Linked DNA regions of Macaca fascicularis. The protein of the gene in region 1 purifies or fractionates together with the protein of each later gene. This does not show direct contact. Links are inferred from orthologs where the notes say so. Each region holds a gene or a part of one and is shown on either strand. Other genes may lie near its edges. The genes, in order: MACROH2A1 and EZH2.

What was found.
Region 2: the proteins of MACROH2A1 (region 1) and EZH2 purify together in Homo sapiens (affinity purification with mass spectrometry; 3 studies listed by BioGRID and IntAct, with this or other methods). This does not show direct contact. The link is inferred for Macaca fascicularis from reciprocal best matches to the Homo sapiens genes MACROH2A1 and EZH2.

Annotation. Positions count from the first base shown.
Region 1 is NC_088380.1:141,934,099-141,938,493, forward strand, and holds the start of MACROH2A1 (core histone macro-H2A.1), read right to left. Parts: upstream 3,037-4,395; 5' UTR 2,860-3,036; intron 1-2,859. UniProt on the Homo sapiens protein: Variant histone H2A which replaces conventional H2A in a subset of nucleosomes where it represses transcription. Nucleosomes wrap and compact DNA into chromatin, limiting DNA accessibility to the cellular machineries which require DNA as a template.
Region 2 is NC_088377.1:190,536,754-190,541,159, forward strand, and holds the start of EZH2 (histone-lysine N-methyltransferase EZH2), read right to left. Parts: upstream 2,939-4,406; 5' UTR 2,733-2,938; coding exon 2,662-2,732; intron 2,186-2,661; exon of another isoform or gene 2,053-2,185; intron 1,890-2,052; exon of another isoform or gene 1,754-1,889; intron 1-1,753. UniProt on the Homo sapiens protein: Polycomb group (PcG) protein. Catalytic subunit of the PRC2/EED-EZH2 complex, which methylates 'Lys-9' (H3K9me) and 'Lys-27' (H3K27me) of histone H3, leading to transcriptional repression of the affected target gene.

The DNA.
Region 1 (4,395 bases):
TGTGCCAAACTCTAAGATAACCAGTCTAATGGAAGGTCATTTAGAGAAAAGTTAAAGTGTGGGCTTCAGAGAACAGGACTCTGATGAGGCTTAGTACGTAGAATCCACTCATTATTTTTTGAGTAGACGTGTTCCCAATAAGAATAAAAAGAACACCTGATCCTGTCTCTCTCCTGCTCAGAACCTTTCCGTTGCTTTTAGGATAAAGTGTGGGTCTGACCAGAATCCTTTGTGATTTGTCCTGTTTGTCCCTCCCTGAAGCCTCACCTGACTACGCACCAGGACTCAGCCATCCCAAGCCTCTGGCAGTTCCCCACATAACCTCTGTTCTTTTCTTCTAAGATGCACACATGTGGTTCCCTAGGCCTCAAACACCTGTCCCCATCTGCCCTCCTTTGCCCAACCAACTTGACCTTTCCGTGCCAGATAAGGGCTCACTCCTGGCTAGGTTACTGCCCCTGCCGGGGGCTACTTGGGGCCTTCTGCACTGACTTTACAACAGCTACTTGCCTGCCTTCTCCCAATGTCAGCTCCCCCAGGGTAGGGGCTAGGCATTTCTTAATCACAGCTGTGTCCCCAGTGCCTGAACAGGAGCTGATTCTCAGGAAATCTTTATGGAAAGACTCTGAGACACTGACCTGACAGGTTTGGTCCAAGCAAACAAGCTATACAACTCTTTGGAATGAAGAGTTGACTCACTCAGGCTCACTTGTAAGTGCTGAGGCAGGGCCCAACATAACTCTAAACCTACAGAATGTGGGAAGGACCCACAGATGTGGGCCCCACTCACTCCTGCCCCTTCCCAGCCCATGTTCTAGCAGTGGGGCTCTGAAAAGCCTGTCACAAATCCTTGGGGACACTCGAATAAGAACCAGAGGCTGTTGCAATTCTGATGAACACCACAAATAGAGTCTTGTTGGGTTCTTCAGCTTGAGGTTTTCAGTTTATGCTTTTATTTAAATAAATCTCCTTTAGGTGACTTGGGGCCGCATTAGCTCTGAAGGCAGGTCCCAGAACACATGCACTCTGAGGTTCTCAATGGGGAAGGAATGCGAAACGTTCCTCAAGTTCTCCTCTCTCAGGGACCAGAAGAAACAGCAGATGGAGACGTGCCACTCCCTGACACTGGCCCATTTGGTAAAAACTAAAACAGTGGCATGGTTGTATATTAGAATGTCACATGTGAAGTTCCAGAAAATCCTCAAAGTTTAATAAAATGTGAGTTAAATTGTGCCTCCTTCTAAAGGCCTGCCTCAAACAATTTTCATTGACACAACCCTCTTAAGGCCTCATCTAGGGATCAGCATTGACAATGGTAACAGATCAAAACCAAAGAACAGACTGGAAAGATTTATTTCTCCTTGTAAAACTAGAAGGGGGAAGAATTTGAAGTCTTTCAAGAGTTTTGTTGTTGTGTTTAAGAAAAAATAAGTTTAAAAACATACTCATCCTCATCGGAGAGTCTCTTGTGCAAGACTGAGATGCTGCTGCCCAACTCTAGTTAAATGTGTACAAGGGATATTAATTTCAGTTGCAGGCGTGAGGTGTCCATTTCAGAGTTAACACCTCTGACAGCAGGCTAGTAGCCTAAAGGTGGCCTGCAGTAGGTGAATTCCACCTAATTTACAACTCGGAGTCTCCCATTCAAACCTAAGACTGTTAAAAAATGCCGACTCTCCGGAGCAGGGAGCTTTGGAACAAAGCACTTCCCTCACCCCCCACTTAAACGGTAAAACCTCAAACCACAAAGGTGGAAGAAAAGAGGGAAGTGCCCCCTCTAATTGTCTATTCTTACGTGCTGTTTACTGGGTCATTAAAATCTTACAAGGCCTTTATAGTCACTGTAATTGTTGAATTCAAGGTTTGTATCAGTTGTTTGTACAGAAGTCTCTCACTTTGAAACTCAGAAACATTTCCCCTAACATCTTGTCTAAAAGAACCTTTCAAGCAATGTACTGACCAGCTGCTTGAGTGATCTGTGGCCCCTGCAGGAGTGGGGGTGGGGAGCGCCATGTCGCACACCTGTTGTCAGGTGACACTGCCAGCAGCATCCTGCGCACTCACCTCCCCACTCCACCCCACCCCCAGCGAGGCTCTTTCCTGCTGGCCTTCTCCACCCGGGGAAGCCCACAGCCTTCCGGAGTTACCTTTAAAAAAAAAAAAAAAGCAAACCCTTCCTACCACAAAGCAAACAAAAGGTTGATACCAAGACAATCGGGAGCAGCGGGGGTTCCCGTGGCCCCTCTCCAGCCCACCCTTGGACCACTCCCCGACCCGGTTCCCAGCTCCAGCCCGGCTTCAGTCCCGCGAGTAGCCCCGCTCTCCCCTCCCTGCAGATAGCGAGCCAGACGCCTACACCTCGGTCCCCCGGGGCTCAGGCCCGACTTATTGTGCCGGGGCCGGCAACTCGCGGGCCGGCGGGGGCCTCACCAAGTACAACTCCGCTCACAGCAGCTCCCGGGCGCCCAGGCCCAGGCTGCCCAGCCAGCGCCGCGGGGCCTCCTGCGGCCTCAGGCCTGGCCGGTGAGCCCGCCCCAGGAAGGGTCACCAGGGGAGGCGCCAGCACTGCCTTTTTCCCACAAAAGCGCACAGGAGCGGGCAGGGGATGCATTTCGAAGAGAAGTTGGTTTCCGGGTTTGTTTCTTGAACAAAACCAAAGGGAATCCCGCGCGGCCCGACAGGGCCTGGGAGGGCGTAGTGCACGCGCGAGGACCCGGCGTGGGCCACACCGAACCCGGCGGCCCGAGCCCGGCCGAGCACCACACCGGTGCGCGCCAGGCCGGGCCGCTCCCCGGCACCCGCGGCCGGACCCGAGCGGCGGAGACAGGGAGTGCGGCAAGGGGCCCGCGCGGCACTTACGCGGCGGCTCGGTGGCGGCGGCGGCGGCAGCTGAAAGATGTCTCGGCCTGAGCCCTCCTGGCCGCTCGCGCCTTTTCTCTCCGCGCTCCTCGCTGGCCCGCCCGCCTCTTTGCTTCCCGCCCGCGCGGCCCGCGCTCTCCCCCTCCGCCCGGCGCCGCTGCCGAGTGAACTGGAACCAGTCCTCGCGGCCGGCTTCCCACAATGCACAGCGCGCCGCTCGTCACATCCCTTCGCTGCCCCGAGCGTACGGCCTCCGCGCCCGCGCCGCCTAGCGCCCCGGCCTTGACCCCGGGCCCGCGCCCTGCCAGCTGACGCCGGCCGCTCTGCGCCCAGGGACCAGCCCGCGCCCCGGACACGAGGTCCGACCCGTGACCCCGGCGTCGCCCAGAACCCAGTCCTTGGGAAGGGCCAGGACCGCCGGAGAGGCGCTTCTCCAGGGCGCGTCCCAGCCTCTGCATCTCGAGTGAGCGCCTACTGTGTGCCTGGCTCTGAGCACGGGACTGTCGTCGCCACGGCATCCTTAGGAACCTTCTCACTAACCCAGTGGGAAGGCACAATGGCTGTTACCAGCGATCGCTCTTCCCTCCCTAGCCAATGCCAACTCCCCCACCCCCCGCCTCAGAGGCCTCGCTGTCTTTAGATACAGGCCACCCCCAAGCCCTTGTCTGCCCCAAGGTCAATTACTGCGCACCCGGCTCCCCTGGGGTCCTTCAGCTAATCCCCTCACCCCAAGGCTGGATCCTGCCTTGCACGTGGAAGCGGTTAGCTACTTGGCTTCAGCAAAAGTTCACTTTCAGACCCAAGTTGGGAATTACTAATATAAACAGTGATTCCTTATCATCACACGCGTTTTTTAAAAACTGCGGACAGGCCGAAAGAGGAGGGCCCGCCACAAAGCCCTCTACGTCTTCCTAAATTGGTTTATCGCCTGAAGGCATTGGTGCCCCATCCCGGGTACTTAAATGGGGGCCTTCCCTCTACTCCCCTCCCTCCAAAGTGTGGAGCGGGAAGCCACTTCTCCATCCAGCTGTGAACTAAATTTGGGTAATAATACACATCCCTCAGGGTTGATGTGAAGTTTAAAGTGCCGCCACTGGGGATTATGCAGGTAATTAGAGACCCCACCCCCAACCCCAGTCCTCAGGCTGCGCGGGAATCGCAGCGGCAGTAACCTCCACCTCACCGGAATGCTTTACTCGTTACTGTAAGAGTTTGCAAAACAATGTCCAATACCTGCCATTCATGCATTCGTTAATTCAATTAAGTACTGAGAACGTATTTTATGTCATGCAGCAATTTGGGTGCTGGATATGAAACAGCCAAGAGAACAGGCAGAAGTCTCTGCCCTCCTGGGGTTTGCATTCTAGTGGGGGAAGGAAAGACAAACGGGAGAATGTGTCAGAGGGTCTCCATGCGGTGGAGCAAAATAAGGCGGAGAAGGGGAATAGGAAGTGTGAGATAAGAGTGAGGCTCAAATATAAGAGAAGGCCTCTCTGAGAATGTAACATTTAAAGCAAAGGCCTGAAGAAATTGAGG
Region 2 (4,406 bases), on another chromosome or scaffold:
CAACACATCTCCAAAAAGAGAGAACAACATGCTTTATATCTATGACTAGAATCCTACCTATTCCTAACTTTAGAGACCATGAATAGAACATTAAAATATATCTTAAATACTTCTGTTTTCTTGCAAATAAAATTTACAAATAAACAAGTTAGGATTACACACTTGATCCGTATTCTTAAATATGAATTAGTTGCTAATGCTTATGAAGAGTAATAGAAAATAAACTCCAAAACCCCTAAAAGTATTGACTACATTCAACCGTGACTACATTCGTGTTTTTCAAAGGTTTATTAAATGCTGTTTTATGGTGACATCAAAACTCCACAAAATTAAGCTAATAACTTCCTTGAACCCTAAAAAGCAAGCCTTTAAGTAAACATCAAAGATACATTTTTATTTCCAAATGAATTTAAATGTTACAGATACTGTGTGATAAACAAAGGAAGTTTAACTGTGGACAGCACACGTTAAATTTCTTAGGCAACAAACATTTCTGCATCCAGTCTTTTCTGAATCACCAAAGCTATTGTTCACAGAAAACGAGACCAATTACTAAGAAACTGCTAACCATAGAATCTAAACACACATTTGTCATAGCCATTCTATTTTGATCACCTACTTCTACCACCTCATCCTCATTCAACCCGTCGGGATTTGGGAAATAATCTCTGGCTGAATGACAGTTGATTTCGTTAGCACCTGTCGCCATTCTCAGATGTATCACACAAGTTGGCCAAAACAGCTTGTAATGTTTAAGGATTACGATTCTTTAGAAAGTGGGAACTCACTAGGCGTTCACCAAGTTTTCCAAAAGATCGTGCTTCTCGATTCCTCCCGCTTTCAAAAAGTAACCCTGTGGCACAGATTTTTGGGGGCAGTGGAAGGGGATGTACACAATGAAGTGGGAATTCAACAGGAAGCCCTCCAAAAACACAATCAATAGAGAGCAGAACAGCTCGACTCTTCCCTCAAACTTAGCATAAAGCCAGACCAGGCGGCGAGGCAGCCCGCGACCGCCGGAGCTCAGGGGGATTTCGGGGTGCGTCCTGGGGAAACGTCAGAGGCGAAGCTACTCCGAGTTCCACGCCGCGAACGTCGTCCCGCGGTCGCCGCGGCCCCAGCCCGGGGTCAGCGCGCCCGGGATGGGGGCGTGCGCGGGGCTGGGGCCGAGCCCTGCCCACCCCGGCAGCGGCCCGCGCCTCCCCACGCCCCTCTCCCGCCCGCCGGCGGGCCCGGGTGTCATGCCCCTTCCCCTCGCGCCGAGACCTCCGGAGACACAGTCCGTCCTTTGTCTGAGTGCAGACTCGGCGGCTGGGTCCCACCAACTTGTGTCTGTCCCGTCCCACCCGGGCGCTCCCGCCGCGGCCGCGCCACACAAAGGAGACTTGAGGCTCGAGCTGCCACCCTGGACCGGGCACCGGAACGCCCCGACCCCGGCCCCGGCGCCCCGGCCAGGGCAGGCACCGGGAAAGCTGCCCCCCACACGCCCCCCGCCCCGCAGCTCCGGGGGTCCGCGCTGCCCCACTCGTAGGCTCCCGCTGGCCAGCCCTAAGCTCACAGCTCCTTCCGGGGAGGGGGGTCTCCCCTCACCCTCCACCCCCCGCACGCCTACAAACGCGGCGCCCGGGTGAGCCCCGTTTAGGCGATACCCGGGACCGGCACAGCAGCGGCGGGGAGGTCCTGCCGCCGCCGCCGCCGCCCGCTTCGCACTCCTGGAGCCCCACCGGCCGGGCCGCCCGCAGCGGCGCGTTACCTTCGTCCCGCGCGCCGGCTCGCGCTGTTCCCGCGCGTCGCCCCCGCGCGCCGCCGCCGCCGCCGCCGCCGCCGGGGCTCCACTGCCTTCTGTGTCCCACCGGGTGTCGGACGCGACCGGACCGAGCGCCAAACGCGGCAGTCCAATCGCCATCGCTTTTATTTGGCCCCCCCAACCCAATCAAGCACCGCCCCGATTGGCGGGACGCTAGGCGGGCGCCCGTCCAATCACAGGGCCCGCCGGGCTCGGAGGCGCCGAGCCAGCCCCACGCAGAGTGCGCTCAGGGCTCGCGGGCGGGCGGTGGTGGCGCGTGCGCGCGCGGGCGGTGGCGGGGCTCGCTTGAAGCGACGCGACTGGCCTTGTGGAAGCGCTGCCGCCGTCTCTTTGTTCTTTCGCTGAACACACGGCGCCTCTCAGGAAGGCGGTGTGCAGGCAGGCGGGGACCGGGAGACATCGCGGGGGCCCGGAGCCCACCGCGAACGGGAGGCGGGGAGGATGGGTGGCGGGAACGGGCCGAAGGGCGGGACGACGCGCCGGCTGCTCTTGGCGGGAACCGGCGCCGCGGAGTTCCCGGGCGGGGGAGGGGAGGGGAGGGGAGGGGCGAGGCGGGGACTGGAAGCCAAGTTTGAACCAGTTCAAAACTCGGGGGTGGTAACGGTTTTAACCGCCGCGCTCGTTTCCCCGCGCGCGGTGCCGAGGCCCGAGCTGGCCTCTCCTGGCGGTGCCCAGGGAGGGGAGGGCACGGGCCCCGGAGGTCGGCTCTGCTGCGGCGCGGCCTTTGCGGGGAGACGCTCGCCCGGCCCGCGCGCTGCCGCCGGCCCCGTTACTTCTTTTTTTTTTTTTCCCTCTGAGACGGAGTTTCGCTCTTGTTGCCCAGGCTGGAGTGCAATGGCGCGATCTCAACTCACCGCCACCTCCGCCTTCCGTGTTCAAGAGATTCTCCTGCCTCAGCCTCCCGGGTAGCGGGGATTACAAGCATGCGCCACTACGCCCGGCAATTTTGTATTTTTAGTAGAGACGGGGTTTCTCCGTGTTGGTCAGGCTGGTCTCGAACTCCCGACTGCAGGTGATCCGCCCGCCTCGGCCTCCCGAAGTGCTGGGATTACAGGCGTGAGCCACAGCGCCCGGCCCGGGTCCCGTTGATGTTGCCTGCTGCTGCCTCGGCCACTTCCCGCCCCGCCCCCCGCCCCCCGCCTCCACCGCTGGACTTTGGCTGAGCTCGCAGTGCTTATCGCCCTAGAAACCTGTGAAAGGGTGACATTACTGCCATTTCAGACCCTTCCAGTGTTTGTAGTGCCAAGCAAGTGTCAGTGTTAAAAATCGTTTATTAAGATGAGCGCTGTTCACTTGCCGCCTCTGCAAAGTGTAAGGATATTTGCAATATTTTTTAGTGATTAAACAATGATCTTAGTTATGGGGGGGTCAACCTGCCTCAACTCAGGAATTAGGGGGCTTCTGCTTAGGATACAATCTCTCCTATTGCTTCATGTGACAATGCAGTTAAGAGTATCCCGAATTTATTTTTACTAGGATGTACCTATGGGGTAAAATACCATTGTCCTGTAAACTGAGATTCCATATTGATAGTTCAGACTGGACACTGAAAAAAGGCCACCTATGATGTTGGGGTAAAAATCTGAAGAAATCTTTTTAATGATTTTAATAACTAGCTAGAATTTTAATTTTTATTTTTCTTTTTTTTTTTTTTTTTTTTGAGATGGTCTCACACTGTCGCCCAGGCTGGAGTGCAGCAGCGCCATCTCGGCTCACTGCAAGTTCCGCCTCCCGGGTTCACACCATTCTGCCTCAGCCTCCCAGGGTAGCTGGGACCACAGGTGCCCGCCACCACGCCCGGCTAATTTTTTGTGTTTTTAGTAGAGACGGGGTTTCACCATGTTAGCCAGGGTGGTCTCGATTTCCTGACCTTGTGATCCACGCGTCTCAGCCTCCCAAAGTGCTGGGATTACAGGCGTGAGCCACCGCGCCGGGCCATAATTTTTCATCAGGTGATTTAGCCCATAATTTTCCCGCCTTTCCTAAATCACCATTCCATTCCTCACATATATTCTGAACCACGCCAATGTTGGAAAGTATATATGAAGGGAAGCTAAAAGATAAGGAGAAACAAGCAATCATGTGCTCAGATAAAAGCAAAATTATCTTGTGAATCAATGATAAGACTGCAAAAAGTAAGTTATGCAACTGAGATGTGACTGTAAAATAACGTAACGAATTATAGCTGTCATTACTTACAGTCACCAATACATTCATTTTCCAAGATAAAATGCATCTATCTAGGCCAGCAGTTTGCAATTTTTTAAAACCAGCAACTTAAACCTCAGAAATTAACTACTTATCCCTAAGTTGCTTATCAAATTACTGAACTTATCAGTCCTATAATATTAAATAGTAAAACGACATTTTTTAAGAGGAAGATCAATGAAATTAGAGACTACCATAAAGCAAATCAAAGCAGTATATAAATATATGCAACATGGTGTGAAATGTCATATAAATTGTTAGACGTTTAGAATCAAGGGATGGATGGATCAAGATGTTCCAGGCCAGGCTTAGTGGTTCACACCTGTAATCCCAGCACTTTCGGAAGTCAAGGTGGGAAGCTCCAAGACCAGCCTGGGCAACATAGCAAGAC